Callithrix jacchus: one gene and its partner. The protein of the gene in region 2 interacts with the protein of the main gene of each other region in a biochemical or structural test. Links are inferred from orthologs where the notes say so. Each region holds a gene or a part of one and is shown on either strand. Other genes may lie near its edges.

What was found. The genes of interacting proteins can lie anywhere in the genome.
Region 1: the proteins of TFAP2A (region 2) and CITED2 form a complex in vitro, tested with the Homo sapiens proteins (2 studies listed by BioGRID, with this or other methods). The link is inferred for Callithrix jacchus from reciprocal best matches to the Homo sapiens genes TFAP2A and CITED2.

What each region holds. Positions count from the first base shown.
Region 1 is NC_133505.1:146,159,913-146,163,856, reverse strand, and holds CITED2 (cbp/p300-interacting transactivator 2), read left to right. Parts: upstream 1-1,144; 5' UTR 1,145-1,380; intron 1,381-1,831; 5' UTR 1,832-1,839; coding exon 1,840-2,661; 3' UTR 2,662-3,524; downstream 3,525-3,944. UniProt on the Homo sapiens protein: Transcriptional coactivator of the p300/CBP-mediated transcription complex. Acts as a bridge, linking TFAP2 transcription factors and the p300/CBP transcriptional coactivator complex in order to stimulate TFAP2-mediated transcriptional activation.
Region 2 is NC_133505.1:20,025,743-20,029,948, forward strand, and holds the start of TFAP2A (transcription factor AP-2-alpha), read left to right. Parts: upstream 1-1,406; 5' UTR 1,407-1,486; coding exon 1,487-1,537; intron 1,538-4,114; exon of another isoform or gene 4,115-4,206.

The sequences.
Region 1 (3,944 bases), about 130 Mb from region 2:
TGCCATACGGGACTTGCAGCTACGTGCCCACCTCCAGAACGACTTTATTTACAAAGTGATTACCATGTTATCTATTTGTTTTCCTTTTCCAGCAACAGCAGCCTTACTCAGCCCTCGAATTTCTTAATTACAAACCCGTTTGCTTCTAAATCAACCCCAAACCGTCAAGCAGAGCCCAGAGGGAAGCTGTGCAAGTTTGCACACACCCCCACCTCCCGGATCCAGGGCAACAGCAGAAGCAAGTAACTGTGTATGTGCAAAAAGGTGGATCTGGGGACGAGGATCGCTGAGTTTGTTTACAGAGCAGAGACGCCTCAGCTCGGATGCCAAAGCTACCAAAGCAGCAAACGCAAACTTAGCAGAAGCACACGTACCCCGGGAGCGGCGGGCGGGCCCAAAAGCGCGGGCTGGAGTTCCAGGGTGCGGGATCTGGGGTGGCCGGGCCCGCGAGCGCGCTCGGTCCACCTGCAGCCGCAGCCGCTGCCGCTCCCCGCCCCCAGCTCCTGTCCTTGAAAGGAGTGGAGGAAAAAAAGGCATCTACATGCAGTGATCTAGAGTAGGTCTACCCACTGCCCTTATGAAAACACAAAGGCACAGTCCAGGAAAGCGCGCTCAAGAAAGGGCGCATTATTTGTCCGGGTCTTTAAAACCCAACTACGAGGACGCACAGCCATTCTTCGCAGCCTGGGAAAGCTTTGGCAAAGCCGGCGAGGCAGAAGGGCACTCCGGAGGGCGGGGGCGCTGGGCGAGTCCCCTTTTCCCGTAGAGGGCCAGACAGATCGCTAGGTGAGCGGAGTGGGAGAGCTGGGGGTGGGGAGATCCGGCCAGAGGCGGGCGGTGAGCTCTCCTCGTTCCACTCCGGGCAGGCGCTACCTTCGGGCGGGGCGGCCGGGGAGGATTTCCCCGCTGCCCCGGGGGTGGCTGAGCCGACCTCGCGTTTCTGGGCCGGGAAGAAACCAGAGCCAGGGGGCGACGGGCCCGCAGGCTCTGCGCACGTGCCGCGGGCAGCGGGGCCGCGGCCACCGGACCCGGTCCAGGTGTCCGTGTTGTTCCGGAATCCGCGTCTTCGCGCCGCCCGCCCTGGAGGTTCTCGCTCCGCCCTTCAAGAAATGCTATATTAACTGTGGCCAAAGCCCTAAGAAACACAGCTCATTGTTGGCAGCTGCCGGGCGCTCCTACCGAGCTGTGAGAGCAGCGGAGGGGAAATAAAAGGGAACGGCTCCGAATCTGCCCCAGCAGCCGCTGCGAGACCTCGGCGCCGACATCGCGACAGCGAAGCGCCCTGCACGCCAGGAAGGCCCCCTCTATGTGCTGCTGAGCCGGTCCTGGACCCGACGATCCCGCCCTCTGTCTTCGGAGCAGAAATCGCAAAAACGGAAGGTAAGCGCGACGGGCGAAGCTGGCTGGGGCTCCTGCCAGCCCAGTCCTCCGAGGGCAGGGTTTGCCCGGAGGAAGAGCGTGAGGCGAAGCTGGGGAATAACAACAGGATGTGCAACAACAGGATGAGGAGGGCTGATTCAATGCCTGAAGTTCGCGGCAGGGCTACGGGGCACTTCCTTTATTAGGCCACTTCGGGGAGCAGAGGGGGGTGTGGGCTAGGGTCCTCCCGCCCGATCTCAGGGGAAGGGGCTGTTTGTGTAGTGCCCGGCTGTGTTTCGAGTGGCAGGTCCTCCTTGGTGGCGAGCCCGGGTGCACAGGCTGCTAGTGGGATTTGGGGGTGTTGGTTCGCAGCCGACGTGCGCCCGGGAATCAGAGGCGGGCAACAGTGGGGTGCGCTGTGGTGGGCGACACGTGTGGCGCGGGTCTCATCGTCTGCCCTTTTCACTTCCAGGACTGGAAATGGCAGACCATATGATGGCCATGAACCACGGGCGCTTCCCCGACGGCACCAATGGGCTGCACCACCACCCTGCCCACCGCATGGGCATGGGGCAGTTCCCAAGCCCCCATCACCACCAGCAGCAGCAGCCCCAGCACGCCTTCAACGCCCTGATGGGCGAACACATACACTACGGCGCGGGCAACATGAATGCCACGAGCGGCATCAGGCACGCCATGGGACCGGGGACTGTGAACGGAGGGCACCCCCCGAGCGCACTGGCCCCCGCGGCCAGGTTTAACAACTCCCAGTTCATGGCCCCCCCGGTGGCCAGCCAGGGAGGCTCCCTGCCGGCCAGCATGCAGCTGCAGAAGCTCAACAACCAGTATTTCAACCATCACCCCTACCCCCACAACCACTACATGCCGGATTTGCACCCTGCTGCAGGCCACCAGATGAACGGGACAAACCAGCACTTCCGAGATTGCAACCCCAAGCACAGCGGCGGCAGCAGCACCCCCGGCGGCTCCGGCGGCAGCAGCACCCCCGGCGGCTCGGGCGGCAGCGCGGGCGGCGGCGCGGGCAGCAGCAACAGCGGCGGCGGCAGCGGCGGCAGCGGCAGCAGCAACATGCCCGCCTCCGTGGCCCACGTCCCTGCTGCAATGCTGCCGCCCAATGTCATAGACACTGATTTCATCGACGAGGAAGTTCTTATGTCCTTGGTGATAGAAATGGGTTTGGACCGCATCAAGGAGCTGCCCGAACTCTGGCTGGGGCAAAACGAGTTTGATTTTATGACGGACTTCGTGTGCAAACAGCAGCCCAGCAGAGTGAGCTGTTGACTCGATCGAAACCCCGGCGAAAGAAATCAAACCCCCAACTTCTTCGGTGTGAATTAAAAGAAACATTCCCTTAGACACAGTATCTCACTTTTCAGATCTTGAAAGGTTTGAGAACTTGGAAACAAAGTAAACTATAAACTTGTACAAATTGGTTTAAAAAAAAATTGCTGCCACTTTTTTTCCCTGTTTTTGTTTCGTTTTTGCAGCCTTGACATTCACCTCCCTTATGTAGTTGAAATATCTAGCTAACTTGGTCTTTTTCGTTGTTTGTTTTTACTCCTTTCCCTCACTTTCTTCAGTGCTCAACTGTTAGATATTAATCTTGGCAAACTTCTTAATCTTGTGGATTTTGTAGATGGTTTCAAATGACTGAACTGCATTCAGATTTACGAGTGAAAGGAAAAATTGCATTAGTTGGTTGCATGAACTTTGAAGGGCAGATATTACTGCACAAACTCTGCCATCTCGCTTCATTTTTTTAACTATGCATTTGAGTACAGACTAATTTTTAAAATATGCTAAACTGGAAGATTAAACAGATGTGGGCCAAACTGTTCTGGATCAGGAAAAGTCATACTGTTCACTTTCAAGTTGGCTGTCTCTCCCTCCCCCCCCATATGTACAGATGATAATAGGGTGTGGAATGTCGTCAGTGGCAAACATTTCACAGATTTTTATTTTGTTTCTGTCTTCAACATTTTTGACACTGTGCTAATAGTTATATTCAGTACATGAAAAGATACTACTGTGTTGAAAGCTTTTTAGGAAATTTTGACAGTATTTTTGTACAAAACATTTTTTTGAAAAAATACTTGTTAATTTATTCTATTTTAATTTGCCAATGTCAATAAAAAGTTAAGAAATAACTCGTTTTCTAGAAGTCATTTGGGGGGTGGTGGTTCTCTTTGGTGGCTTTTTCCCCCCCCCCAAGTTGAACACTTTATTGATGAGAGTAAGCATTCCAAAGGATAAATTACAGGACACTAAAACAGGTCATGATGAGCTTAAGCGGAGAGCAGGATTTAACATAATTGGCATAATGCTTCATTGTTATCATTGTAACATGCCTCTTGGTGTGCTTTAATCAAAAGCTGCAAAGTTGTCATAGTGCTTTTTTTTTTCTTAATTGCCATCATATTCAAGTGTACTCCAGAGTTAGAAAGGTTTGCAATACTCAACATTATCTTTTTCAATGGGCAGGAGGGAAAAATGAAGTGTTTCTGTTTATACCTGATTGAACTACTTAAATGGAGGTAGATTAGAATAATATACTGATGGATGGG
Region 2 (4,206 bases):
TCAGCCAGGAAAATTAATTACTCTGTATTTCATAGTGTCGCATTAGGTCCTTTATTATTTCTTTTTCTTACTTTTAAAAAAAATCCCGAAAAAGAAACTGATAAAAGCCCCAGCGAAGCCAGTAGGCCCCAGTGAAAAGTCCAAAAGCCCGGACTGACCAATCTGGCCAAGGAGGTGGCTTCCCAGGCCTCCAGGTTCCGCGTCAGCCGGGCTCTGCCTGGCGAGCACGCTCGCGTTAGTAGCATCACCAAATCATGAAGGAACTCTCCTTGCTTTAATTAAAAAGGGGAATCTTGGGAAAACTGGAGCAGATTAACACAGCGAAGAGTCGGTTCCTGGTGATTTATTTTGATGCATGCATGAGACGGTATCTAGACCTGCAGGCGCACACATGTCTATTTCGGCTCAACTTCAGAAGCGGGTGTGCAGCTCCATAGGAGTTCTGTATTCGTGTCCAAGTCGCACCTAAGAAACATTAGCCTGAACACCAAGTTGGACTGTCAGTTGACCCTAGCTTCACACAAACGGGAAGAAAATTATTTAACCCCTGGAGCTGTCAAGCTACCTCTTCAGGGTACAACTTTTATTTTACATGCCGCAATTAAGGGATCGAAAACCCCAGCAGAGCCACCGGGGCCGCTTGGCAGAATCTCCAACCTGGGGGAAAGCTCAAAGCCAATAAAACTCCCAGGGCGCTGCGGCCCGAGGGGATGGCTGCTGCGAGCGGAGGCGATCCCTAGTTGGGCAAAAATCCTGGAGTGACTTCGCCGGTCTTGGTTTGGTGGTTACGTTTAATTGCGAAAGGGATAATGATTTCTAATAAAATTGCACGGGGCCAAAAGGGCAGCTCGGATCGTGGTAGCAGGGTTAAAGGAGAAGTGCAAAAAGCCGGGCCCCAGGCGTGGCGGCTCGGACCTGGAGCTGTGCCGGGCTTTGCACAGGGCATCTCTAGAGAAAAGGAAGCGGAGAAAGAAAGGAAAGGGAATGGGGCGGAACTGGGGTAAGAGAGGGGGTGTTGTGGCAGGGGCGCGCGGCGGAGCTCAAGATGGTTTCATCAGTTCGCAGGCAGGAGTGAGCTCTTGAAGCAAGTTTGCGGTGTAGAGAGGCCTTTATACCTGGGTCGGAGCGGCCGGCGGCAGACTGTGGTACTGGCGAGCAATTGGACTATTGTTGATATGCTAATGAGGCGATTAGGCTGTTGGTATAGAGCTGGAAAAGGGAAAAGTTTCTACCATTAGAGGGAGATCTCCGAGCGCACACGGGAGCTCTTTCCCTTCTCTCCTCCTCCTCGCCCTTCTCCTCGCCCTCCTCCTCCTCCTCCTCTTCCTCCTCGCCCTCCTCCTCCTCCACCACCTCTTCTCCCTCCTCCTCGCCCTCCTCCTCCTCCTCCTGTGCTCACCGCCGGCAGCCAGCACTTTGCGCTTACCCAGAGAGTAGCTCCACTTGGGTGCGAGACGGAGAGGAGCAAATCCATTCAAGCCGATCCATGAAAATGCTTTGGAAATTGACGGATAATATCAAGTACGAGGACTGCGAGGTAAGCGCGAGGCCGGCTTGATCATCCATGCGGCCCCAGGCTCAGAGCTCGACCCTCCCTCTCCTCCTCCTCCTCTTTGCAACCAGCTGCGAAACGCGGGTGGGACAAACTTTCCCCAGAGCAGCGACCGCCCCTCAGATTCGTCCGAAGAACGCGGGGGAGAAGCTGGAGAGGGAGGTCGTTGATGCTCCCTTCTTTGGTTTCCCTACTTTGGAGCCCGTGTCCCACTTTCCTTCCCTTTCTGACCGATTTTGGCTGTGCGTAAGAGTGGGGTGAAGAGAAGAACATGGGCTTTTGAAGCGGTTGCTGGCAAATGGGCACGCGCCAGTGCACTCCTCGTGTTTCTTCATCGAGATTCTGAGGGCCCAAGTCACGAGGAACAGAAAGAGAAAACTCTTTTCTCTCTTCAACTTCCCATCCGATGTTTAATATTCCTTCCATTCATTCATTCATTCTTTCCTTTCTTCCTCTCTTTCCCTCACCCCCCACCCCCTGTTCTAAAGCGGTACTCTTTAGAGTACCCTGGTCTGGGCTTTGGAGAAGGGCCCCCACACTTCGCTGTAAGAAGGGCTGCATCTTCCTATAAGTGGGTTCAACTTGAGAACACTCATCCCAGCTGCGAGGCTCGCTGCAGAGCCTCGGTGCTTCAAGAAGTTCTAAGTAACTTCTCCTTCTGAGCTACATCATCGACGCACCCCACGGGGGGCGTGTGGTGGGAAAGGTGCTACCCGGAATCTGCTGGCGCTGGGTGCCGGAGCGCCAGCTTCAGCAGCAGCCGAGAACGACCGTGGGAATCCTTGAGCGGCTGTGGACACCTCTGGTGCCGCGAGCCCGCTGGGCCGACAGAGCGCGCCGATTTGGAACCCATTTTAAAACCCAGAGTCCCCCGAGCTCGCCTTCTTGAGTGAGCAAGGAGGCTCTAGCGCGACCGGTCCACCCGCAGGAGGCGCTGGGAACGGTTACAACCTTCAGTGAAATGAGCAAGGAGTCCGAGAGAGGGGTTAGAGAGTGCAGGGCTGAAGATTACTTTAAAAAATAGGTGGCAGTCCCAACTTTTGCTGGTTTTACTTTTTTTTTTTTTTTTCTTTTTTGGCATTCGAGGCTGAGAATGTTAAGCAGGAGGTCTGTGTGCAGGCGCAAAGGCGGAGGTCTTGACTTCGCTCGAAACCAGAAATTGGGTTTATGTGAACGATGTGTCACCCGCTCCCTCCTCCCTTTTCTTTCTGAAGACTATTTAAAATCTTTCTCCTTTCAGGCCCCCTACCCCAGTAGATGGGGCACGGGGTGACATCCCATGGGTACTGGCCCTTCTCTGGGGGGGTCCTGTCGCGCTGGGGAGGGGTGCAGGGATCCCATGTCAGACCAGTGGCTTTGTTTTCGAGGCTGGGAGCGAGCTTTGTAGGCCGGTCGGAATGAAACTGAGTCCCTCAGTCTCACAGGACAAGTCATACAGTCCTGGTCTGGTCTTTGGCCCGAGGCTGGGGCATTTCACTTTCGCAGAGGCCGAAACCCAGCTCCAGGTGTGGGCGCCCTCGGCGGGCAGGGTCCGAACCTCCGCGCAGCTCTAGGTGCCAACTGGATGGGGTGGGTGGCTAGGTGGGGGATGAACTTGCACCCCTAGAGGGATCCTGTGGGGGCAAGTGTGAATGCGTGTGTGAGGCAAAAAAAAAAAAAAAAGAGAGAGAGAAAGGAGAGAAGGATAAAGTCAAAGCTGTTTCCACAACTTTGGTGGCGGCGGGCAAGCGCCGGAGCGGGGATTTCGGGTTTCGGAGTTGGCTTGGGGCAGTCTGATTGTGCCGGGGCGCTGTAGGGACACGCAGAAGGCGAGGTGCCGCTTGTTCTGACAACCTGGCGGGTAGACTGGCAGAGGCAGCACGCCGGGAGAGCTAGCCTTGTCATCTGGGGGGGCGTCGGGCGGGAGTGGCCCAGCCAGTCAGACGGGTTTTTGCCGGGAGCTGCGAGCCCGTGCCAGCGGCGCCCGGGCTGGGCCGCCTCGCGTCTGTGTGCGCCCGGGCCCGCATCCCGGCTCCCGGTCCAGAATCCCCGGCCCCTGAGAGCCGAGGGCAGAGCGACGGTGGCCAGGGAGCGCGCGGCGCCCCTGTCCGAGGGAAGCTCAGGAGGAGAGGGCCAGCGCCGCGAGCGGGCCGGTCCCGGGAGGGGCGCCGGGTCATGGAGGAGCCGCGCGGCAGCCGGCAGCCGAGTCCTGAGTCTCACGCTCGGCTGCGGAGCGGAGGAGCCCGCGGCCAGGGAGGGCCGGGAAACGCCTGCCGCGCCGAGAGCCCCACGAGCGCCCGGACGCGGTCCCCAGCAGCTCCTGCCCGCTCTGCACGACCCCCGCTACATCCCGAGGTCTGCCCCAGCCTTTTAGGTCTGATTGTCCTCGCTCGCTTCCTCTCCCCTTCCCCCTCCCCCGCGGCCTCCCCCTCCTTGCGCACGGGCTGGGCCCCCTCCCTCCCTCCCTCCCTTCCTCCCTCCCTCCCTCCCTTCCTCCCTCCCTCTTTCCCTCCCTTCCTCCTCTCGGGCTCTCCCTCCTTCCCTCCCTCCCCTCTCCCCACTCCGGGCTCCTCTCCCTCGCCCACACTTTCTTTCTCACACATGCACGCAGACACATTCTCCCTCTCTGCGCTCTCTCCTTCGGTCTCCCTCTCTGCCTCTTTCTCTTTCACTTT